2 linked regions of the Astyanax mexicanus genome follow. The protein of the gene in region 1 interacts with the protein of each later gene in a pairwise test. Links are inferred from orthologs where the notes say so. Each region holds a gene or a part of one and is shown in the gene's direction. Other genes may lie near its edges. The genes, in order: srfb and elk4.

What was found.
Region 2: the proteins of srfb (region 1) and elk4 interact in a two-hybrid assay, tested with the Homo sapiens proteins (2 studies listed by BioGRID and IntAct). The link is inferred for Astyanax mexicanus from reciprocal best matches to the Homo sapiens genes SRF and ELK4.

What each region holds. Positions count from the first base shown.
Region 1 is NC_064414.1:39,385,710-39,398,538, forward strand, and holds the start of srfb (serum response factor b), read left to right. Parts: upstream 1-7,890; 5' UTR 7,891-8,382; coding exon 8,383-9,006; intron 9,007-12,829. UniProt on the Homo sapiens protein: SRF is a transcription factor that binds to the serum response element (SRE), a short sequence of dyad symmetry located 300 bp to the 5' of the site of transcription initiation of some genes (such as FOS).
Region 2 is NC_064431.1:6,342,584-6,355,176, forward strand, and holds the start of elk4 (ETS domain-containing protein Elk-4), read left to right. Parts: upstream 1-7,427; 5' UTR 7,428-8,049; intron 8,050-12,593. Other genes in the region: si:ch211-117k10.3 (Krueppel-like factor 15), read left to right, coding at 899-1,067. UniProt on the Homo sapiens protein: Involved in both transcriptional activation and repression. Interaction with SIRT7 leads to recruitment and stabilization of SIRT7 at promoters, followed by deacetylation of histone H3 at 'Lys-18' (H3K18Ac) and subsequent transcription repression.

The sequences.
Region 1 (12,829 bases):
ATGAATATTTTTAATATTTACCTGTTTCTTTTTACCTTGAGGTGCTCATATGGGACAATAATATTCCAATGGAGAGAACTTGCAATACATCTTATTGCCTAAACTCCTTAAGCCATGATAAACAATGTATTCGAGATTTCTGCATAGCGGCGTTTTATAACCACATCACTGTAATTACAGTACTTGCTTGGCAAAGTCCTAGTTACACTCATTAATACAGAGACCGTGCACTAATTTCACTTAAAATGTCATTTTATATAACGGCTTATTATTTTAATGTAGAAGGTCGTACGAGAGCCTTCACTGGCGATGAAGGTTCTGTCTTTTTTTATACGTGTTTTTTTAAGGAAGGTACTCTGTGATCCTTTTATACAGATGTATGTATTCAACCCATTGTAACATCTCATTTTGCAGTTTGGGAAGTGTTGTAGGCTGTTGGACATTTCAGTGGTCGCTACCAACTGTAAAGACCACAAGTGCCTAGGACATGAAGGAATATTTACTGTTGTTTATTTTACATTTTATTCGCAGTACAGTTGCCTTTTTGTTTTGTTTTAATGAACGGTTTTATATGTAATCTTTTCTTATTATGTTTATTTTTTGTTTATTTCTGTGAACAAATACATAGTCCATGCCTTTTCAAGTACGTACATGCTAGGCACTCACACCTAGATTGCTTTTTTTGTTATTATATTTAGCAAAGGTCACAATAAACACAATGTATGCTGCTCTTATTAAACGTTCACGTTTGTAATGGCTGGCTTAACACTGAGGTTGCAGCTTCTTTTCACTACATTTCCTGCAGGTTTCACCTCTGCTGCCGCGTTCGGCTAATCAAACACCTCAGAAAGCAACAAATAGATTAATCAGGTGAGACTGATTAGGACTGGGGATAAAGTTAACCTCCAGGAGCAAATGGACAATACAATAGATTTTACGAATTAGGCAATAATTAGATTTCTACAGGGGTGGACTTGCAATCTTTACACTCTGGAAAAGTCCAGAACAGCTGTTTGCCCTGTTAAATAACCAAAATTTAGAGCCCTACCTGACACTCGGCACAAGGCATGTCGCAGTGCTTATTGCTATCTTACACCCAGCCAACAGTCTATGTTGCACCTGCGTTGTTATAATAGCAACAGAGTTTACGAATATATCTACGCCAATAGGTGTGTTGGTCTGAAAATGAGGTGTGTTCAGGTATGTTTCTGGTGTATTGCTCTCTTGGCAGTAGAAAACACTGGTGTGCAACTGACTGATTAAAACACTGACAACAATCAGTCGTTCAATAGTCCTACACACACGGTGCAGCACACAAATCCAACTTTTACATCAACAAAAAACAGAATAAACAGAAATAATTATAATATTGCTGTTCCTCTAAACGACCTTCTTGCAGCTTTTCACAGTGTGAATGCTCGGTTTCCTCTGCTGAGTCAGGCAAGGTGTAGTTTTTCTGTTGTTACGACAGCAAAGACACTGACGCACAAGCTGCGCAGTGCATGGTTGACGGCTCACCAAGAGATTGCCAAGCAAAGGTGAGTGAAATAAGAATGCGTAGCTCCTTTTTCCCAACGAGTCTCCTCCTCTCTGTGGCCTGCAAACTGATTTCGTGACGCGATCTTGCCACCTGTCTAAATACCGGAAGAGGCAAAAGAAGACGCTTAAAATCCTCATCGAAAAGGCTTCCAAAGGAGGATAGACCACAGTATCCTACCCAGGAAATGTTTTTAAAATTTTGGAGTGACAACACTATGGTCACGCCCACAAAGCACCTAGTACACATTTTATTTCAAGTTAAATTATTTATTAATTCATTTTTTTTTTACTTTTGTATGTCAAGAAATAATACAACTGTATAAAACACTTACATGACTGCAGAACATCTATCATTACTTTTTTATGAACAAATAAAAATATATATATATATCAATTTAATAAATATAAACAATAAGGCTTCCACTTTTATTTGATTGGCAAATATTTCACATAATTTCAGAAATGTAGTGTTTTCTCTGCAATAAACCGGAGTACAATTGTACAAATAACAGGAAGACCATATATTTGCCTGACTGTTTTCAGCAGCTGTGATTGGCTGGGCAGTCTTGGGGGAGCTGAAAGCGAGCGTTTTGATTGGCTCAGTTAATAGTCAAGTAGTCATATTAAAAGGGATCCGCTGTCCCATTTTTCCAATTACTCAATCACTGCTCCTTCTCTCCATTCCTCCTCCTTTCCTAAATTAATCTTCTTCCGGGGTAGGAGAGGAGTAGCTAAGTTTGTGGAAAGAGGAGAAATGAGGATGAGAAAAGTTAAAGAAAGTCAAGTCCCTTTAAAGTCAACGCATAATAATGTAAAAAGCTCACAGAGCGGCAGTAATGTCTTACAATTAAAGCACTAAATTACAGCGCGAGACTGAGAACCAGGTGGAAACTGAAGCTGATGAGGAAGCGCGTGATGGTGATGATGAAGAGTCAGCGAGGGAATTTCACCAGAGGAGGAAGTGGAGCCGCATCTAACAGCAGGTCAGGCATAGGCCTTTTATTAACTCCTCTCATAGCCTCACAGCTTCTATTAACTAGGTTCATCCAAAAGTTTAAGGAGGGGACATGTTTTTAGTGCTGGGCGGTATGACCAAAAATGTATATCACGGTATTCTGACGGTTTTATAGTATAACACGGTATCTGTATTATTAATATTGTGGCGTGGAAGAGGAAGGAAGACCCGTGAAACTCATGCTGAACGCTCAACAGCTCCTTTAAAGACCAGGCTTGCCACTCACTTACAGCCTTTAACAAAACTAGGAGAGCTAAACCCATTACCCCACAGAGCTCCAACAGCCCAAAGGCCACCAACCCAGCTGTGTGTCTCCCAGATGGCAGATCCAGAGTGGTGCCCACCCTCTCTGCATAACCCCTCCCAAGGGAGATGCCCCACCCCTGTCATCCTCGCACACAGGAGAACAGAACCATGCCTACAGGCAGCCACACACACAACCCAGAGCCGCCACAATATTATATATTTTGCATATCTAGGCTCTTATAAAGGCTTTGGTTAATACTAAGTTTAACTTGTCCCAAAAAATTACACAATATATGAAGAAATTAGACTTTATTAGCAGAAAAACATCTAAGGAATGTAAACAATAGACCTTAAAAAGAGATGCCAACAACTTTAACACAACTTCCTGTTTAAACTGAAATATTTAAATCGTTACTTAAACACTATAAACAGACATAAATACTCAATGTTTATATATTCAAAAGATGTATTTCTTCAAAGCTCTATTGCACAAGTTAGACTCGTTTAATATCAATTTACAATATGCTATTATAAAGCTATTGAAGGCATTGCAGTATTAAAATCAGCCACAATTATCTTCTTTCTTTAGTTAACAAATAAATGAAATTCAATGTACATTAAAATTGTCCTTCAAGCTACAGCATTAATTTATTTTAAAGGGTCTCTTTTCTGAGTGAATAATTGCTGTTTGCTGTTGTTTTTCTATTGTACCGCCCACCACTAATGTATCTTTATCTTCTCTTTCTAATTTGCTTAATTCTAAATAAGCTACCGGTACAAACAAACTTCGCTGTTGTTAAAAGGCTGATTTTTATTAAAGTTGATTTGTATCATAATCAATCACAGCAGCGTTGTTTGTGTAATTTCTTAATAGACTAGTTTTAGGCCTGTTTTTGAGGGTTAATATATACCCTAACAAAAGTGCAGCATATAAAACAAATGAAAAACATATAAAGCAGGCTAATTTTTACACGGAATAGACCTAAGAGAAATTCTGATTTCACCTGACACCCTATTTCAAGCTCATTTCAAATCGTTTTTTTTTTTTTGTCTTTTTTGTATCAAATGCTGTAATCAACCAAAGTTGGCTGATCACAAGAGTTTAAAAAATGTAATTGAGGTTTAAAAACAGGTTTAAGGTCTGGTGTTCCAAAAAGAATAACAATAATAAAAAAAACTCAACTTTTTAATGTCAATCAAGCATATTTCGATTAGATGACAGACATGATGTTATTGAGTAACAATTTAATAAAAACCCAATTTATTAACTAAAAATATTGCCTTTCAACACATTTTCTCTCTTTTCCAGACATGTGCCAGTGCGCAGTGTGAAGGGTTTTCCTAGATCCCATCACATACTGTGTGTGTGTGTGTGTGTGTGTGTATAAAACAACAATAGCCCCCAGACAGCTGGCGAGCCTATTTAGAGGAAAAAGTCCAGTGCTGTTTTATGGTCCCAGTCCATCCCTATATCTCTATTACTGGTAAAACAATTTGGATTTGAACACTAGAACCAGATACATGACTGCTGCATTGCTCTGATCTGATCAGTAGAGGGCGCTATATTGTGTGAGCTGGATTGTGTCCTGTCCGGGGTTGTTAGGCTAATCAGTGGATATTAGGCTCCTAATCAACTATTCAGTTGTTTTTGTCAAGTCTCCAAAATCACTAATGCTTTACTGTGGAATGCTTTTAGTGCTTTATTTGGACATAGCCGGTTTCATACTAGCTGCAGCTGGAGGCAGGACCTCCTTCATTATTATTGCACTTATATCACAGGCTCTCTTCATGTGACATTATCTGGTTCCCACCATAAAAGGCTGGTCGTGTGCTCGACAGCTTTTACTCCTGCTGTCAGCTGAGTCATCAGTAGGTGTTCTTTGCTGATGTGGGAGCGCTTCGTGAGTCCTACGTCTTTTGCCGTGAAAAGACATCCAGCCGTGTGCTCTCACACTCAGCACTTCAAGTGTTCCTCCCTCTCACCTAAGACTGAATAATGCATTTTGTGTTAGGTCTGTCTTTTGTTCTCTGTTAATGCGGCCTTGCCTTTCTTTTATTTCACCGTGCAGGGTGTACAATCAGAAGGATGTTCAAGCTTCCTTTTAAGGCTTTTGCATGTGGAATAAATGTTAATAAAATATAGATTACATTAAGACGCACATATAAGCTATATATTTAACCATCATGTTTTTGGGGGTCATAAAATCTTGTCACTTATCTGACAAATTTTAGTTTTTTTTTTTTTTTTTAATAGCAGCATATTATTTTTTTAGTTATGCAAGATGACCAGCTTAGATCCTGACCAGCATAGGGTGTATTTTTGTTTAAAGTTGATGGTTAACTGGTCTACAATCTGATGGTCTTAGTCTTGGTCAACCAGCATAGTTAAGCTTGCTCTTTCTGGTTGTCTAACTGTATATCCCTGACCAAAATCAAAGGCATCATACACTGTGCTGATCAAATGCTGAATTACCACCTTGTTAATTATCATAGTGAATGTTTTACCTGTCTGATCAGCTTTTCAGTTCAGCAAACACACCCTGATCGTTAGCAGAATTGTTCAGCAGGGATGCCTCAATGCTAAGAACATTAAATCTGCCATGGATTAATTTTTTATGTATGTTAATTTGTTATTTGATGTAAAAATAGTAGCTAAATATATGTCTTTGTTTGGGATGAAACATGCTCAGATGTGGTTTAAATGGCCATTAAAACCCTGTTCTTTTCTCAAAATTAGTCACACTGATTTTCTTTTTTCAGAGGACTCAAAAAAAAAAGATGAGTTCTGCTTTAATTGGCAGGTTTACAGCACACTGGAGCCACAGAGAGTAGACACAGAGTAGCATAGCTTTGTTTTTAGGTAAATACAGTTTTCCAGTCTAGTGCATCTTTAATGAACCCCTCCAGTATGAAAATTGCCTTCAATCAATTAAAATAAATGTCAGGGTGATTTGCTTGTTTACTCACTGCTGCACAAGCTTGTTAGTATTCTAATGTGGGCTAATGACTTAAGTAGGTATATAATTGTTGTGGTTATTTATAAGTGTTGGATAAAAATTTAATGAGTGGTGATAAAATGAGTCCAGTATAGGCCATTACAAGATGTTTTGGTCTGCTTTACACCGAGCCTGCCCTGTCACTTCACATTCAAAATAGGGGTTTTGAGTGAGTTTTTTTGTTTTTCTTTTGTTTTGAGAGGCAAAAAGATATACATTAATTTACAGCACTAAATCAAGTCTCTTAATCAAGTATTCCATGAATTTTGCACTCCACTTTTGTAGCTGTTATCTTAACCTACTGCATCTTTATAACAGTTACCATGGGAACTAGATGCACTACTGCTGTAGTCTATTGGAGTTGTGTCAAAGGTTGTGAAAGTGCACAGATAGCATGTTATGTTTGCAAATCATGTTGGGCCAGGTACGTTTTGGCCTGATGTTAGATGTCAATTGGTGCTTAATGGTGGACCAACTTAAGTGTGATATTGGGTGTCAACCAATGTATCATGGTAGGCGTGATGATAGGTGGCGTGATGATAGGTGCCAACTAGTGCTTGATGGTGAACATACATTGGTGTGAATTTGGGTGTGATAAGTGGGCTTGTGTCATCCGGTGTGTTTAATGGTGGGCCTATGTTGGCTTTATCATTGGGTTTATCATTATTGATGAACTATAGACGGGTGTCAATCGGTGTTTGACTGTGTGCTTACTTTGGCTGTAAACCTGTTTGATGGTCAGCTTATGTTGGCCTGATGTTGGCTTCAGAAAGTGCAATCTAATACCTACCAAATGTATATAACTGATTATTAAAAAATGGGTAATATATACAGAACCAGAACCAAGCATTCTCATTAATATTTGTTCTTTATTAACATTATTTACTACATTGAAGATTAATATTAAAGACTTAAACTATGAAGGAACACACACGCAATTGGGTAGTAGACAGTTCCCATTCCAGGTTGTACCCCATTAAGTGGACTGTGAGAATAATAATAATAATAATAATAATAATAATAATAATAATAATAATAATAATAATAATTATCATAATTGCATATGTGTTCCTTTATAGATTTGATGTCTTCAATTTTAATCTACAATGTAGAAAATAATACAAATAAAGAAAAACATTAAATGAGAAAGTCCAAACATTTGACTGGTACTGTAATTGGTGACTAAGCATACTAAATAAACAATTAATAAAAAGTTACAATATATTACTATAATATATTTTTGCCTATTCGTGAGTTTAAATAATCTTTAGTGGCTATTCAAAATCACAGATGCACTTCACATATACAATTAAGTGGTTGTTAGTAGGCCTGTCACAACAATACATCATTGACTTATTGTTCAATAAATGGACAAAACCTTTGACAATGGTGTATCGTTTATTTGTGTTTGTTGACCTATAAAATAGTATTGTAATTCAATGACCAATGCTTCAATAACTGTGACTGAAAAAAGTATATATTTTCCAAACTATGATTTAAATGACATTTTTTGTCGTATTGCTGTGTTATTCTATTATATTATCATTATGGCAGTGAGATTTCAATTGTCTTAAAATGTCAGTAATGTTGTTTCTCGTTATAACGTCTGGGACAATATATTGTCCACAACAATTATTGTGGCAGGCCTAGTTATTAAAAAAAAGACCCATAAAATGAACTTGCTGAAAATTGTCTTTATTATATTGGCATGGGGGTTACAAAAAATACTTGTGTGTTAAATTGTTAGAAATTGCAATTTTGTTCTCTGGATGAGCTTATTTACTTCACACTGCACGTGTGTGTCATTCATATTCCAAAATAATTTATGCCCAGCAGAGTAAGTGGGGTCTCCCTCCCTCTGCCTCCTCGATGACGTCGCCGTGAGCGCAACCGTTTTGGTATGTATTCAAATGAGCAAGGCGCTTTGACCAATGGCGTGCTGAGACTTACCCTCACGGACCAATCGGAGGGCGTCACTGTGACTCGCCAAATAAGGAGAGAGAACTCCTTATAAGGAAGCGTTGTATCTCTTTATATGGAGGAAAGTAGATCCGATAGCTCTGCACGGACAGATTCTTCCACAGCCGGAGAATAATATTAGAGAAATAAATGCATAAACGTTTACGGTTTTGCGTAAGAACGTGTGTTTTTAGGGGCGGTGGGACAGGCCTGTGAGGGTGGTGTGTTTAAGCGGCCCGCGGTCGACATTTTACAGGTTTGCGGTGTGAACTACATGACATGGCGGATTAATCGCGGGGGCGCGCTTCGTGTTTTCCTTTTAGAGAGAGTGCGCGGTGAGTTGTGGAAAGCGGGGGGGTGAGAGCGGCGCGAGGCTGTAGCGGGTTGAGGGGGTTTGGAGGGGCAGCATCAGTTTGGAAACTTCGCTCCGGCAGTCACTCAGGCTTTCCCGGCTCATTCCGAGAGAGTGAGGGGCTGTGCTGCTGCTGCGCTGCGTGTGTTTGTTTGGGTTTGTGTTGAATGTGCCCGCAGTACGGCTTGACCACACACTCGCCCACCGCAGACTGACTGACTGGGGTTCTGGTAGCTGTAGCGTTCGGTAGCGGTGTTTCTTTCCCCCGGTGTAGGATGTTATCCAGCCAGGCTGGCTCGGCGTTGAGTGGAAACGGGTCAGCGTCAGGGAACAGCGCGGCGGTGGTACACGGGGCTGTGGTGGTGGGCAGCAGCGGGCTTCGGCCGGGACTCGCGCGGACAGGCGCTCAGACTGTAGCCGGGGTGAACGTCGCTGCATTCGGAGGGGCTCCCGTGGGAATGCTGGGGGGAAACGGGCCCGGGAGAGGCGGCGTCAGAGCCGGGAACGGCGGTGGCGGCGGGCTCAGCGCACAGGTGGGCTTAGGGGCTCTGGGCGCAGGGTTAGTGGGGATCCCCGGTCGGTTTGACCGGGATAAAGAAGGGGGTCCACAGGGGTGCAGCGCCTCCGACGCGGACTCCGATTCTGGGGACGACGACGAACCCATGGCTGGAGACAGCCGGAGGGGGGTGAAGCGGGAAAGGGCCGAAATGGAAAGTGCCATGCCCGGCCAGGAGGCTGGCGTGCCCCCGGGGGGTTACGGTGTGGTGGCCGGCGGAGTTGCTGGAGCAAAGCCAGGCAAGAAAACACGTGGACGCGTTAAGATTAAGATGGAGTTCATAGACAACAAGTTGCGGCGATACACAACTTTCAGCAAAAGAAAGACGGGCATCATGAAAAAGGTGAGCTTTTCTGTTTGGACAGTTTCCCCATTTACACACCGAATGTCTTTATTTAGTAAGTAACTCACCCAACATCAGTGCAAGTTCTACTAGGAGTGTTGTTTAATTTTAATACATAATAACCTACATCATTCACCTGGGATCACGGATAACACGCACACGTGGGGCCTGAATGGGTAGGGAAATATCCCAACTGTAAACCAGAAACTTTGGTTTATGGGTTTCATGTTGGTCCCACATATAAATGTCAGTGTTGGGCCCCATCAGGGTCAAAGTTGAGACCCATGTAAGACTAAGTCTAAAGTGGGCAGTAATGATTTGGCTCATATGGGAAGCTCAACGGGGTCCCTGTAAAACCACATGCAATACAAACCACCCCATGCCTACCTAAAACCCACCTGTCCCGCCTTTCACCCATGTGAGCTCCACATGTGCTTGAAGTAGCAGTGCCCAAACAATAATGCATAACAAAATGCCCCAAAAACTGCTCAATTCATTCATATAACCTCTGTATATAACTATGGATGTAAACAAACTGTCTTAAAGAAAGTGACTTTTGGACTTTTGTCATTCCACTGCAATTTTTCTCATCTCTAATGTTTTCTCTCTCTCCCTCGCTTTCTGCTGTAATGAGGACTGCAGTATTGCATGTCCTCTCCTCTGGCACATGGTGACTGGAAGTCACAACAGACCCCACTGGCTGTGAGCTTTAAATAGATTAGAGCAACTGACATTCTCTATTTCTGACCACCGCCACCCTTCTTCAAAAAAACACACACACGCTCAGGGTTTGGCCTACATGAAGAGTATCCTTCATCAATGGAGCTTAACCCAAATATTTCAGAATGCAATTTCGGAATAGTTGCCATTGCATTGTTCCTCGTATGTGCTTTGGCAAGGTATGGCTGGAGTTTAGTCTCTGACTAGCCTGTTAGAACATTAATCCATACACAGTTACTTACTTCTAAGAAAAATAAAGCTCTAGGGCTTTAAGAAACAAGGGAAATTGAAGGCCATATTTCAGTATATTGCAGGTGACCTGTGCAGGCTCACTGTAACAGGTCATTGGCTCAGTACCAATACACTGAAGATAACTCCACATCTGCTTTCTTTCCCATAGGCCTGGTATGGGTCAGGGGACTGATCTGTGATTGGACACTCCTTCAAGTGTATTACACTATAAACAAGAAACTTGCTCAGTCTACATCAGTACATATACCATGGAATGGTACAGTGAGTGCAGTGAAATTAGTGGAAGTTATTTAGAATAGGCAATAGCTAAAACAGTAAAATGCATACATAGAAAAAAGAACACAATTTTGTTTAATCATTCATTTGCCTGTCTAATTAAGATTTTTTTAAATCCACATGTGGGCCACGTGTGAGAAGCATGGCCCAGTGGGCATGCAACCCCTTTCTCAAGAGTAGGCTATAGAAATGTTATTATTATTATTATTATTATTATTATTATTATTATTATTATTATTAATAAATTATATTAAACCACCACTTAGCCCTCTACCAGATCTCCTGCCTTTTACTATGGCTGTTTCTCAAGAGCACTTTGCATACTGAATGAATAAAGACACTTTAAAATGTAAGTCCCTTGTATTGGATGTGCTGATAGTAATAAGATTGTAAGTAAAAGTAGATTTTAAGTAAAAACTGTTGAAGTGTTGCAGTACTCTTGTTATGTTTATGGTATAGAATAAGTTTAAACTTTCCATTGTTTTTGTTAATAATCTTTATCTTATAGATGCAGAGATGCTAAGATTTGACCAATATATCAAATGGAATTTTAATAATCATTTTGTAAGCTTCTGTAAACAAGTGTTACATTCCTTTGTAAATGTTTATCAGCAATTTTAATACAGCAGCACAAATGTACACAAAGTACAGTATGTTCAGTCCAGTACTGTGCACTTTTAGGCAAAAAATACAATTCTGTATACAATACAATACTGTTTCTAAAGCACCTTTCAAGAAAGTGTATTGCTTTGGTTATTCAGTGCTTTTATTACATTATTTTATTTAAAATACTTTTAAATAGTGATCATTAAATAATACTTAGGCTACTTTTTATTGCTGTGAATATGATCGAATGCACTTGGGTACATGTTTAAGTGCTCCGGAGGGTCCTATTCTGTTGACAGTACTTTTCTACAGGGACGGAACAAGCTGTGTGTGCATTAGCACATCTGTTTCATCTGTGCAAATGAAAACTAGCTGCAAATGAAAGCAGCTAAAAGTAGAAGGGATGTCCACAAACCTTTTGGACATAAAGTGTATATTACTCCGTCTGTTGGTCTGAAAAAAGCTTTGCAAAATTCTGTAAAAGGAATAACAGCAAATATCTGAAAACACAGAACCCATGTGGGTGCATTCTCAGTCCTAAGTGCTTTCCCTTTATATTGGCCTTTTGCTGTGGTCTTAATGACCTGTAGCAGATGATCACCTGTCCTCGTTCTTCTGGTCAGTGTGTCAGTTAGCACCTCTTTCTGCATGCTGCATGGTGACAGCTGTCTGAAGGGGTTGCTGATGTCAGAGCAGAAGAGTTCAGGAATGCAGTGTTCCCACTGTATGATGCTCATAACCACTTGAATGTTACTGCGTGCTCTCCTCTCTCCAGCAGCCAACTGCAGGCCTCACACAGTCTGATAAGCCTATTTGTTCTGGAGTCACAGTCTAATTCAGAATATTACTCCATTGCATTTTTATTAATGCCTATATCCACAATTACTGCAAAAATGTGTTTTGAAACATACTGGTAAAATAAATAATTGTTAATCTGCTCTTAACCAGAAAGCTGGTTGACGGCTCAGGAGAGCAGGCCTTTTAGGCCATTGGTTTGCTGGAAACAAATGTACAAACATGTTACAGTTGTGGGATGTTTACATTTTTTCTTTACATATTTATCAGTAATAAATGCAGCTCTGTAAACTGACCTTTGTTCTGGTGATGGCGATGCAGCACATGGCTGCCTGTACATTCAGGTAATGTGTACAGTTGTGTACAGCATGCCGATGCTTCTAAGTTTTCTTGCTGAAAGCCAGAACTGTGCGCAGCTTTAGCATTCCTGCACAACCATCAACACATAAATTCAGCTTCAGCAGAAATAAAAAATAAAAAATAAAGGTTATCTTCCAACAGCAGGAATATCAAGACAGAGAAAGCTTCTTCTTTTTTTAATGGCATGTCTGCTGGCTCATAATCCTGCATCTTTTTATTGTGGAAACAAAGGAGAGTTTATGTACGTGTTTAATCACTGGCCAACTGAGCTAAAGTCTTCAGTACAATCAATTTTTTTTCCCTTTCTTTTTTTCAAAAACAGCAACAGATTGGAACGCAGCATCCACAGTCTCAGACTCTCTGCTTTTGTGTGGGCTGAAGACTGTAGGATGTGCCTTATGATACCAATTTGCACATTTCTTTGGTTGGTAATCTTGAAGCACACTTTCAGGTAGTGCAATTTTAAGATTGGGAGATGAAGTAATTTTCTGCCTTTGAGCAGAATCTACATGGACCAAACACTATCCTCATTGCTCCTCACACTGTAACCTTGCCCCTGCAATTTTGCACAGTAATGATGCTGTGTCCAGGCAACCGTCTCTCCCTCTTCCAGAGACACTGGTGTGATCCTGACATTTTGATGCAGCACATCCTTTTAGCATGCAGGGTTATGAGTAGATAGTAGAAAGTAGTAGTAGTAGTAAGAGAGTAGTAGTAAAAAGTAGCAGGTTTTCAATTTAAATGTTTCCATAGGCTACTGTAATGAGTCTGTGTATGTATTCATACAAAGCATTTGCACTATAAAGCCACCTTA
Region 2 (12,593 bases), on another chromosome or scaffold:
CTTTCAGACCTCAAATAATGCAAAGAAAACAAGTTCATATTATAAAGTTTTAAGAGTTCAGAAATCAATATTTGGTGGAATAATCCTGGTTTGTAATCACAGTTTTCATGTATCTTGGCATCATGTTCTCCTCCAGCAGTCTTACACACTGCTTTTGGATAACTATATGCCTTTAATCCTGTTGCACAAATTCAAGCAGTTCAGCTTGGTTTGATGGCTTGTGATCATCTATCTTTCTTTTGATTATGTTCTAAAGGTTTTTAATATGACAAAATCAGAGAAACTCATCATTTTTAGATTGTCTCTTAAATTTTCCCTGAGCTGCACATTTACTAAGAATGGGAAACAGCTTGTTTAACTACTCTAGCAGGCTCTAGGACAATTTAGTGAGAGAATTTTAGAAATGTAGTGATGACTATTTTAACGCTTTGTTTTAAATTAATTTAAATGATTAATCGTTGCAGCCCTAAGGTTTTGACATCCCCTGTTATATGGAACTTGGCCTTCAACTTAGAGCTGGTACTTCGAAGAATGCCAATGTAACTTGGTTTTGCGGAACACCAGCTTGAAGTTGAAGCACTGTCGCATGGGTTGTATCCAGATCAGTCAAACGTGGCATGATGCAGATTCTTTGAGCACACACCTACAGTGCTACAGTGGCCACTGTGGCAGAGCTCATGCTCACAAGTGCTGCCGCTCAGGTGCTGCCACAATCCGATGCTGTTACAAATTGGAATTTAACAGGCTTTCCTACAATATAAGATTCATTGCCAATTAGCATTGTTACTACAAAGGAATACCAAATATATAAAACACATATTTCCTTGTTTTTGTGCTATGTTGCTATGTTTTATTAGAATTCTTATGTCTTTTATCGTGTTTTGATCTGCTGCTGCAGGTTCTCGCGGTCTGATGAATTGTCCCGCCACCGTCGCTCTCACTCCGGAGTCAAGCCTTACGAGTGCACCATGTGCGACAAGAAATTCGCCAGGAGCGACCACTTATCCAAACACACCAAGGTGCACAGGAGCCCGCGCACCAGCAGACTAATCAGAACCAACTTCTGAAGCGCCAGGACCTCCTGACCCCACCCCTACCCACACTTACACACCAACTCACCCACCCACAGCAGACCTGGAGCTCGGAGGCTAACAGGCTAACTGGCTAACAAGCAGAGAGTTAGAAGATCTAAACTGACTGCAGTCTTCCCTTACCTTTTTTCCCGCCTCCTTTTTTTTTTTCATTTTATAGTTTATCCAGATGTTTGCTTTTCTTGGTGCTACACTAAGCTAAGTCGAATCTCAGGGATGTGATTGTTCAGCTCAAAGCAGATTTCTGGTGATCCGCTAGGCTCAGGCCCAGGCCCAGCTGAAGCTTAGCTAATTGCTCCGTTCTCCGTTCAGCGGGGGTGAAAGTTGCGGGAGGTTTTGTTATGGAAGCTAATGTAGGTCAGCTGAGGTTTGAGATTTGTTTTTGTATTGACTTTTCACTTAATTTCACAAAAAAGAAGAGATTAGGAGGGTTTTGAAGGCAATCCAATGCAAAATTAAAGATTTGGAGAGATTAAGTGCTACATTTGGGTGCTAAATGTCTGTATTTTGCGAGTATTCCCTTAAGTAAGTCTGTTCAGACGGGAATAGTATGTATAGTAAGTAGTATTAGTAGTTTATTATCAAGTCAAGTCTCAAGTTAATGGTTTGGGCAGGAGGTAGCACAGACATGAGCTGAATTAAGGTTAAGCGATTATAGGGCGATTATAGTCTCAAGACTGCCGTAAATAATAATAAATAAAGACCAATGTAGAAAATAATAATAATAATAATAATAATAATAATAATAATTATTAATAGACTATCATGTTGTTTCATGGTGAAGCCAAGATGAAGATCCCCCGCCTTTTTAGATTGTGGCAATATGCACTCATATAACGTGAGCTTTTAATGCAAAATAATGCAATTAAAATGCAAAAATATCTCGACTGTCGTGGAATAGTATCAGTTTTATAGCACTTAGTGTACTCTGCGGAGTACCGCCCTCTGAACAGTTCAATCAAGACAAAGTCCAGTGTGATTGTCGTTACACCTATGTATTACTCTACATATTATTTACATATTCATATTCATATTTCTCTCATTTTCTTTTTTTGTTTTGTACTGAAGTAGGAAGTACCTACGAAAATGCTACTAATCTGTAAAGGACGTTTTCTTGGCCCAATCACATCCCTGATTGAACCAGAAGATATTCTCACGTTGAGTATCTTCCAACTTTTCTCCTGTGCCTCGTTAAATATGTATATACAATATAAGTATATACACATCTCTCTCTCACTCGGTCGAGAGAGGCTATGCCAAACCAGAGCTCCCTTACATACATACATACGTTTGTTATCTCTGGGACTTTGGGTGAGTGACTTCACTATGTTTATGGACAAAGTTGCTCATCATCATTATCATCATCGTCGTCATCATCGTATAAATATATATATACGTATATACACGTACTGTAATACAGACCTATAAGCTAGGAGCAGTTTTGTTCTTTCTCCATGTAAAGTATCGTTTCCTTTGAAAAGAAAAGCTGCTTCCTTACATTATCATAGTGTGCTTTTGCTTCTGATCAATGCATTAACAATGAATACATGGTGCACTTCACTCAATAAGCTACGTTCAGGAGGACAGCCTACTGCCGTAATGTCCTGATTCAGAAGGGGGCAGCTGATTGTTGATTGTCTCGTCGATATGAAGCTATGGGTCGCTGTGTGAAAGAGTAATGAATCATCAGAGACTGTTACTCGCCATCTCTTCTTTATCCGGGTGACTGTCAGTGAGTTTTCTTCACTGGGGAGGGGAAACGGCTCATTCATTCAGAAAGTCACAGCGCTGGTTAAAGAATGAAAGTTTATCCAGCTGAATGATTTCTACACCTGTACTCCCTTTTTTTTTGTTTTGTTTTCTTTCTGGAAGTTTTCTGCCATCTTGCCTTTATGCTTTATGTGTTTTTTGAATATGTAACTGGGCTCATATTCATAAAGCTTCTCAGAGAGTAGGCGTACTGATCTAGGATTCGATTTCTTGCTTATTTGTTGCTTATTAAGAGACGTCACAGTACAAAATTCACCATCATAACCAACAAAAGTATTTTGAAGATTTTGATTTTTGGAGGTGTAAATATGAAAAAAAGCACCCTGTGCAGCTAACTTTTTACTTTTTATTTATTCACCCAAATTAGCAGAACCAGTTAACACCTTAGACCCTGCTTGTAGACATGTTTTATATTAGGGCTGCACTATATATCGTTTAAGCATCATCATCACGATGCACAGCTCTGTCTCTGTGTTTGTGTGAGTGCTGCTGCCTGAGAAGGGGGGAGGGGGGGTCAGGGGTAAACACGAGGTAACCGCATGGTACTCATTATGAGGTTTTACTTCAACCAGAGTCCATTTCATACCAGTTATCTCCTTTAACAAAAGGAGACCCAAAATTGAACCCTGTGGGATCAATGAATAGATAATAAATATAAGATTCTAGGGGTTAACCCACCTACCCAACCACCCACTCACCAGGACAATTTTAAGGCAATTCACGGCACATTAATGCAGTAGGATGATAATAATTTAATGCAGTGTCTGGCTGTGTCTTGTATCTCTAAACAACTGTCAAAAAAAAATGGCAGAAAATCTTTTGGTTTTTTTTTTATTGTATATTGTGTATATTATACATATTTTATATTGTAAACGTTAAAATTAAAAGTAGAATTTTACTGCTTTAGTGTGCCCTGAATTGCCTTGCCTTTGTTAATTGGCTTCAAATGTGGGGAAAAAAGGGTCTCATTCAAACTGCAAAATCAAAGAGAAAAAAGTTTTTCCCTTTTTCATTTTCTGATTTTACATTTAATGATTATCATTTGGATACTACATACACCGACCCATCAGATATTTGCTTCAAGAGAAGATACATATTTAATAATTTTATAAATACTGTTTGAGAAAGCCAGAAATGAAGCTAGAAAATAAAAAAAAAATAGATGAAAACCTGTTTCTTTTTTTCAATATTTGATGCAAGTTTTTCATATGATTTTCAGTTCTTGGTCAGAAAATTGAGCTGATAGTAAATCTTACATCACTAGGACCCAGCCAGTGGGAGCATGGTTAATTGTGCTCTCTCGGGCTCCGGCTGCTGATGCTGAAGCAGCTTGACCTGCTAATTAAATGTGCAATTCTGGGGCCATATAGCCACAAAGTAACCATATAGTGCACTATTTCTGTAATAGGGAGCAATTCAGAACACAGGTCATGTTTACATTAGGTCAGCTCAGATGTTCTTTATGGTCAGTGTTCTATGGTCTGCCCTCTGGTGCTATATAAAACAGTTACATCTACACACTGTTGTACTTAATGCATTTGAAGTACCAACAATTTAAGGAAGAATTTCAACAAGTTTTATGAACCTTCTGACCTTCTGTCCTTTTTCTCATAAAGAATGATCTACAAGCAGCACAGGCTTTTAGAACGACCTTCACAGTCGCCTGACTTTAACATCATTCAAAACCTGTGGGTGGGAGCAGTCTAAAAATATTGCAGAACTAGAAGCACTTAGAAGTGAAGAGTGGGTGAAAATTATTTTTAAAAAAAAGAGCAGAAAGACTCTGAGCTAAACTGACTAAAAATGCTGTTAGTAAGTAATTATTGTTATACGTCCGATCTCCAAAAGTACAAACTTCTGACGTGACTTAGAATCAGAATTAGCTCTTATTAACAAGACCCTAGATCAGCGTTCCTACTCTGAGAAGCTTCATGAACGACGGCCCTTAAATTGTTCTTTTATTTTTGACAATTCAGTCTTTCTGTGGATTTGTATAAGAACGCTATTGGTAATAATCATGAATAATTGCCATTCCCTTCCTGTTTTGACCGCAAACCTCACCTGTTATGTAGCAACCGGCTTAACCTGTTACACAGTAACTGAATTCACATGTTACTTTGTAACTGATTTTTCCTGTTACATGGTAACCAGCTTAATCTGTTACAAAGTAATTGATTTTGCATGTTACTTGGTAACTGATTTCCGTTGTTACATAGTAACTGAATTCATCTGTTACATAGTAACTGGCTTAACCAGTTACATATTAATAAGAATTGCATTTGAATTTACTTGGTAACTGAATTCAGTTGTTACGTAGTAACCAGGTTAACCTGTTACATAATAACAGAATTCATATTATGGTCATTGAATGTGGATATTTCTTAGTAACTGAATTCAGATTAACCTGTTACATAGTAATTGAATTTGCATGTTACTTGGTAACTGAATTCATCTGTTACATGGTAACCAGATTAACTTGTTACATAGTAACTTGATTCATCTGTTAGATAGTAACCAGATTAACCTGTTACATAGTAATTGAATTTGCATGTTACTTGGTAACTGAATTCATCTGTTACATGGTAACCAGATTAACCTGTTACATAGTAACTTGATTCATCTGTTAGATAGTAACTATGAATGAATTAATCTTTTACATAGTAACATAATAACAGGATCAATTTGTAACATAGTAACTGAATTCATCTGTTACATTGTAATTATATTAACGTTACATTGTAACCAAATTCACCTGTTACATAGTAACCGGATTCACCTGTTACATGGTAAATGAATTCATCTGTTACTTGGTAACCAGATTAAACTGTTACATAGTAATCACACTCACCTGTTACATGGTAACCTGGATATTACATAGAAAAAAAATGTTTCACAGTGTGGAACAGGCTGTGTTTGAAAAAAGCCCACTAATGTAAAGGTGCTTATTTTGGTCTCCTGATTCTTTTGATTGGTTGACAATGTTTCAGTGTTTTTCCCCTACGTGTTCTCTTGTTTTTTTTTGGAAGAGAAGTGTGCTGTAAAGAGATTGATCTCCAAAACCCCACCCCCATCCATACCCCAGCCCTCCTGTCATCTGCCTTAACAGGAAATTCATTAACATATTAATACTTTTCCTTTTTCAAAGCAATCCAATGTAGCTGCTCGACTGTATAGCTGGAGACGTGTAGGTTATATTTTTGAATAACTGAGAAACAAAAAAATGCTATTTTCCTATGTACAACAATAAAACAATAAGAAACAATTGGCTGAGAAGCTAACTTGGCATCCATGATGTTGTTTTGGATTAATCTTAAGCCATTGCAAATCTGTCTTTTACACAGCGCTGGGGTTGTTTCATGGATGAACAGGTTTTGTAAGTGATCTGAGATGACTGGCATAAGCTAACTGCAGTTCAGAATGTAAAATACAGTCCCCTGTTTACAAGCCTGTGTTGGGTTTTGTCTATTTCTGTGTTTTTCTGTTATTTGCTGGTCTTTCCAAACTGCTGGATCAGTAATGTGGCTGTAAAGCATGTGGGAAAGGAATCTTAGCGTGGCTTATTGAAGCTGGAGCGCCTGTACGACAGGAATGTCTGGCTCTCTGTGGTTGATTTTTGAGAGCTGGAGAGGGTTTGGAAGGCGTGTCTGAGTGTAACTGGCAGGTTGGGAATTCGGAGGTTACTGTAGGTTGGATGTTCTGTTAAAACAGGGAAATACATTAAAGAAATAGACTATCATTTTTTAAAATACAGCTTTCACAAGTTTTTAAGTGTCACCAGGGTAATTTTTGCTAAAATGATGTGCAAAAATTAAATTTAAAAGGAAAAACTGCCTTAAAAGTGTCTACAGAGTAAACTTAATCCATTCGGTTTACTTTGAAGTTTTTTGCAGTTTTTTTCTGGCTGAAATAGGCCCTTTTTTGTAATATCATTTGATAACAATGCATTATCCAGTGTTTTGCACATCCAAACACCATGGAAACATGTCAATAGATAGACATAGTACAGTACTGTGTGTACAACAGATTTTTTAATGACACACAAATAAGTTAAAGTGACAATACACAGTGTAAAACTACTGCTTTTACTACTGTTGATGTGCAGTGCAGCCAGCTTGGATCACCAACCCAACTCAAATAATAGTTGTACTATTATTTTAGTAGTTCAAACAGAACACTTACCTAGGACTGTTTTGTTATTGTGTGAAGAGTTTTTAACATAATTGTCATATGATTTTGACGTTTCCTGAAAAACTTAAGTTAAAAAAATAGTTTATAAATATAAATAAATTATTGATTTTTTTTAACCAGCGCACTGTGCAAATTTCACAACTTTTCCAGAAAGTTGTAAATGGGCCTTAAAATCTCAAAATCACTTCTTTATTTTTGCATAAGTGTAGTAAGGTGGTTTACAACAGGGAGAGAGAGAGACAGACAGGCATAGAGAAAGGTAGAGACAGACAGGGAGAGAGACAGAAAGAGAGAGAGCCCGACAGAAGAAGAGAACAAGATAGAAAGACAAAGAGAGAGAGAACGACATAGAAAGAAAGGGACAGACAGAGATAAAGATACAGACAGACAGGCATAGAGAAAAAAAAGGTAGAGACAGACAGAGAGAAAGACAGAAAGAGAGAGAGCCCAAAAGAAGAGAGCAAGTTAGAAAGACAGAGAGAGCAAGGGACAGAGAGAGATAGAGACAGACAGATGGAGCACGAGAGAGAGACAGAGAAAGCGAGGTAGAACAACAGACAGACAGAGAGACCGAGAAAGAGAGCGACAGACAGAGAGACGGAGGCTGATGGAGAGACAGTGAGCGAGATAAAGAGACAGACAGAGATAGAGAGAGCCTGATGAAGAGAGAGAGACAGACAGAGACAACAGACAGAAAGCAACAGAGAGACAGAAAGAGAGAGAGAGAGCAAGAAAGAGATGGCGACACAGACAGAGAGAAAGAGCGCGAGATAAAGAGAAAGAAAGAGAGAGAGACTGATGGAGAGATATAGAGCGCGAGAGAGAGTGAGAGAGTTTAACTTCCTGTTTTTTTTGCAGCACAAAACACTGCACTGGGGTGGGATTAGCAGTAACTCTGCTGGGTTTAGTGCTGTTCTCTGGTCTATATGACTGACCAGCGGCTGTTTTACGCGTTAAATCGCGATAAATTCTATATTCGTGGATGGATTTAATCTGGGAGGTAAGCGCGAATGACTGACTGCAGTGTTCCCAACTACTGTACTGTACTGCACTGTGAGCTGCTGACAGGCTAGCTGGAAAGGTGGCTAGCAGGCGTTAGCTTACAGGCTAAGCTAAGCTTCTTTTGATATGGTTAGGCTAGCATGCTAACGCTAGCTGTTCTGTGGGTTTTGTATGAATTGTTCGAAAACCTTTTCAGGGCTGTGCGTTAAGTCTATAACTAGAAATTTAGCGTTAAATTAATGCTAACTGACAAGAGTTTGCTGTATTGTAACGTTACAGAATGGAGTAGGTTAGCAGGCTAATGCTGCTAATGTTAGCTAAACTGGCTAAATAGGTTAGAACATTAGCTACGCTAGCTAACCAGTTAACTACATAAATAATCTGTTATAGCTAGTTAGTTAACTAAAATGTTGGTAAAAACAAGCTTACTGCATTGTTTTGTGCTTGTTTCTGCACAATTCCAGTTTTAATCTGAAGTCTGGAGTATTTTAGGTCTTCCCTGCTAACAGTTAAATGTGTTTTAGTTCAGAAATCCAGAAATGTGTTTTAAGAGTTCAGAAATCCATATTTGGTGGAATAACCCTGGTTTTTAATTACAGTTTTCATGCATCTTGGCATGTTCTCCTCCACGCGTCTTACACACTGCTTTTGTATAACTTTAATTTGGTAAAATCCAGGAAAAACAGCATCATTAAGTGGTCTTTTATTTTTTTCCCAGGGCTGTATATATATACATTCTCTGTAAAAATGCAGCAGCCACGATCTGTAGCCAATTCATTAGGAGCACTGTACGGCTGCTACACAATTAATCTAATATTATTGAAACAGAAATATCAGTCCAAATGTTTATGAAATGTTACCTCCTTTTTTTCTGCCACCAAAGCCCTCAAATCTACTCCTGGCCATTTTCACTGTACTCACAGTCTTTTGCTTTCATTCTGCCGTAAAAGTGACACAAATTGTAATCTGGCCAATTAGCTTTGCGTTGCAATGTATCGAATATGTGTCATATTTCAGTAACAGATCGGATTTTAAAATGTCAGATTTTGTGTGTTTTTGCTGTTTACACTGCTACACAAACTGTGTATCTGTGTCACATATGATGCCTTCTGGGCACAGAGTGGTCCAGCGGTCTAAGCGCTGCCATGTGATTGGGAGATTGCTAGTTAGAATCCCGGTCATGCAGCTTGCCATCAGCTGCCTGAGCCCTGAGGGAGCACAAGTGGCCTTGCTCCTAGGGTGATGTTGATCAGCACAAGGTGTCTGTGAGCTGATGTATCACAACCAAGTCACTGCGCTTTCCTCTGAGCACGCTGTGATGCTACTCGTTCAATGCTGCATCAGCAGCAGTTCTAAAAGAGGCATGCATGTGTCTGAGGATGCATGTCTTTACCCTCCTTAGGTTGTGGCATCACTTGTAATGAGGGGATATATAGCTGAATAGCAGCTACAGTGGCTGCGACAGTTGGCCTAGCTAAATTGGGGAGAACAATGGGGTAAATAATGAAAAAAGAGGCCTTCTGTAAAATATTCTACATTTATGGTGCCACAAGAAAAAGATGGTAGGCATGGCACTAGAGATTCATTTGAAAAGACATGATGTATTAATATATTGTTGATAATAATATATTGGTGTAATCCAACCTATAAGGCCATGTGGAATGATGTAAAATTTTCTTTGCTGAATTTGCTTGAGGTAATAATAATAAAAAAAATCATATATATAAAAATACTGATTATATCAGCTTATGGCCTACATTTCATACCAGCTTTGTATAATCATAAATACAGACTGTGGTCTTTAAAAGTCAATGATCCAGCATGTCACAATATTAATAATTAGTAAATGCACCAAAATGAGACTTTTGGCGTGAATTAGAATTTGTATAAAGTTTTCATGTTCAATTTAAATTGTCATGCATGATTTTGCACATTCTGAAAAGTGGTCATGTACTGTGCATCTTGTGATTGTGTACATCCAGATTGTGATGTTGATGCTGAAATTAGATATGTTGTGGCCCTAATATGTTTACTAAAACTAATTCCACTGATTATGTAAGTATAGATACAAGATACACTATATTGCCAAAAATATTTACAGACTAACTGGTATTCCTTTTTCTGTCTGGGTTACTGGAGGTGCATGATATGTTTCTCATTTATATAAAACTAATGGAAGTGTCTTATTTTTTCTCAGCTTGTAAAGACAGACAGCTAACAAGTGATCTTTGCTCTTCTGACACATTTTGTTACACCAGTTTCTCTCAGCAGTGTCTGTTTGAGGCTTATATCTCCACCCACATGTTGAAGTAATGTTATGCAGGACTCTGTCTGAGGGAGGGGTGAGGAGATGCCATCCTCTCTTCTACTGTCTGGGCCGAATTCCTCTCATATTTTAAATTTATGAGCATGTTTGTGTTTGACGAATTGCACAAAAGCCATTGTACGTTTGTCAGAGGCTGTTATTTTTTTTAAAATTATTTTTAAGCTGCAGTGACAGACTGAAGTTCACTTTTTTAATAAGAGTTTGATACAGTTTGTAAACAATGAATGTCCCAAGAGGATCTTGCTTTCACTTCCCAGTTTATGAGGTTTGTGTATCAGAACTTATTTAAATCCATTATGCTTTGTCATGTTTTTGGCTTAAGATGTGTGCAACTGCATACTATAAGGGTCACTACCAGTCAAAGTTTTAGAACACCACTGTTTGTTTTTGGTTGTCCAGCAGCAGTGCTGTATAGGGTTGAGTGATATGGCCCTAAAATAATATCACAATATTTCATGGTATTTTCGCGATAACGATACTCTTGGCGATATGAAAAAAACTGAAGAAGAAAAAAAAGCATACACTACTGCAAATAAATGAAAATTAAATGTTATTCTTGCCTGTGATATGATATGGCACACTGAGAGAACTAAGAGATTAAAATAATACAAGAATTTTATCAGATTTGTAACTGAAGTAAATGATCCAGAATGTCATAATACTAATAATGCACTCCAAATATCTCCATATAGGCCTATCCAGGATTTCGGTTTTACGGTGACGGACTCAGTTTCTCCGTGGCTGTGTGTACATGAGGTCAGAGTATGATATCAACGCATGGGCTTGTAAACAGTGTTGTTTTGAATCATTGATTTGTGAACAGATTCACAGAGCGTCTAAACGCCACACATGATAATTCACAAAATATTTTTTTTGGTCAGTGCCAGTTTGGAACTAAGCTATGTTGGAGAAATATATCTGAAAGTTGCAGTATGTTCTTACGGTGAATTTACACTGCTCCGACGCGACAACGCACAGCGACGGATCCCATTCATTTTCAATGGGAAGCGCCGCCTCCGTCAGACGCAGTTGCGCGGTGCATCATGGGTCCGACGCGTCGAGAGCGGGGGATGCGATGAAAAGTTGAGCCGAGCTGAACTTTATGCAAATGAGTCCGTCCAACGCAATGCGTCTATCCAATCAGAGAGCAGGTGTTGGCCTGTAACGCGTCCTCAGCGCAGCGCATGAAAACATTTTAGTTCCGCTTTCAAGCGTCCAGAGAAGCCTTTCAGGCTTCCCTGTGCTTTATAAAATCCCTGCTGATTCACAGGGACTCTGTCAGCGAGGAGAAAGGCTGCTGTGATTGTTGGGGTCTCTGGTGGGCTTTTAAAATGTTAATATGTAATTTAATTGGAAAAGTTTGCTTTTTTCAGCTTATATACTGTTCACTAGACAGTGTAATAAAGCTCATTCAAACATTTATATCTATAAAGACACATTTATAGTTATTAATTATTGGAAATAATAATAGCTTATATAAAAAGCATTTCCCATTTATTAAAATGATTTAATTGGACGACGCAGGGAACGCCTTTGTCATGCCCACATGCGACCGGTTGGAGGGGGGTAGTGCGAAATTCACCGTTACTATTTACAATAATATGGTTTCCCATCTCATCAACAAGCTTCGTTCTTGTACTGAAACCCCAAAGGAGAAATTTAAGGGTTAATGGCTGCTCTCTCACTCTAACCATGGTCACCAAATGACCAAACACAACAGCTTACATATGTTCTCACTAAATATCAGAACCTTCTACTAGGGGTGCGCAATATTATATCGTATACAATATATCGTGACACAGAAATATCATGATATTAAAAATCCATATCGTGATAATAGGGCTGTTCTGTCTTAAAAGTAGTCTATTATTTACTGTGAAGCTTTAGGTGTATTTATTGTATAACTGTTTTAGTTTGCAGTATATATGCATGCACTTAATATTCTGCAATATTATTTGCTGCATTATATTATTTTATGCTATATTATTTATTTTGCCACATTATGATTATACTGTTATACTATTATACTATACTTCTGAAATGAATGAATTATTTTAGTTTTCCTATATCGCCAAGTATATCGTTATCGCAAAAATACCCTAAAATATCGTGATGTTATTTTAGAGCCATATCGCCCACCCCTACCTTCTACATTTACATATTTTGCTTCCCAGCACTGTATGTATACAGTATATACCAGCACTATTGAAATGTGT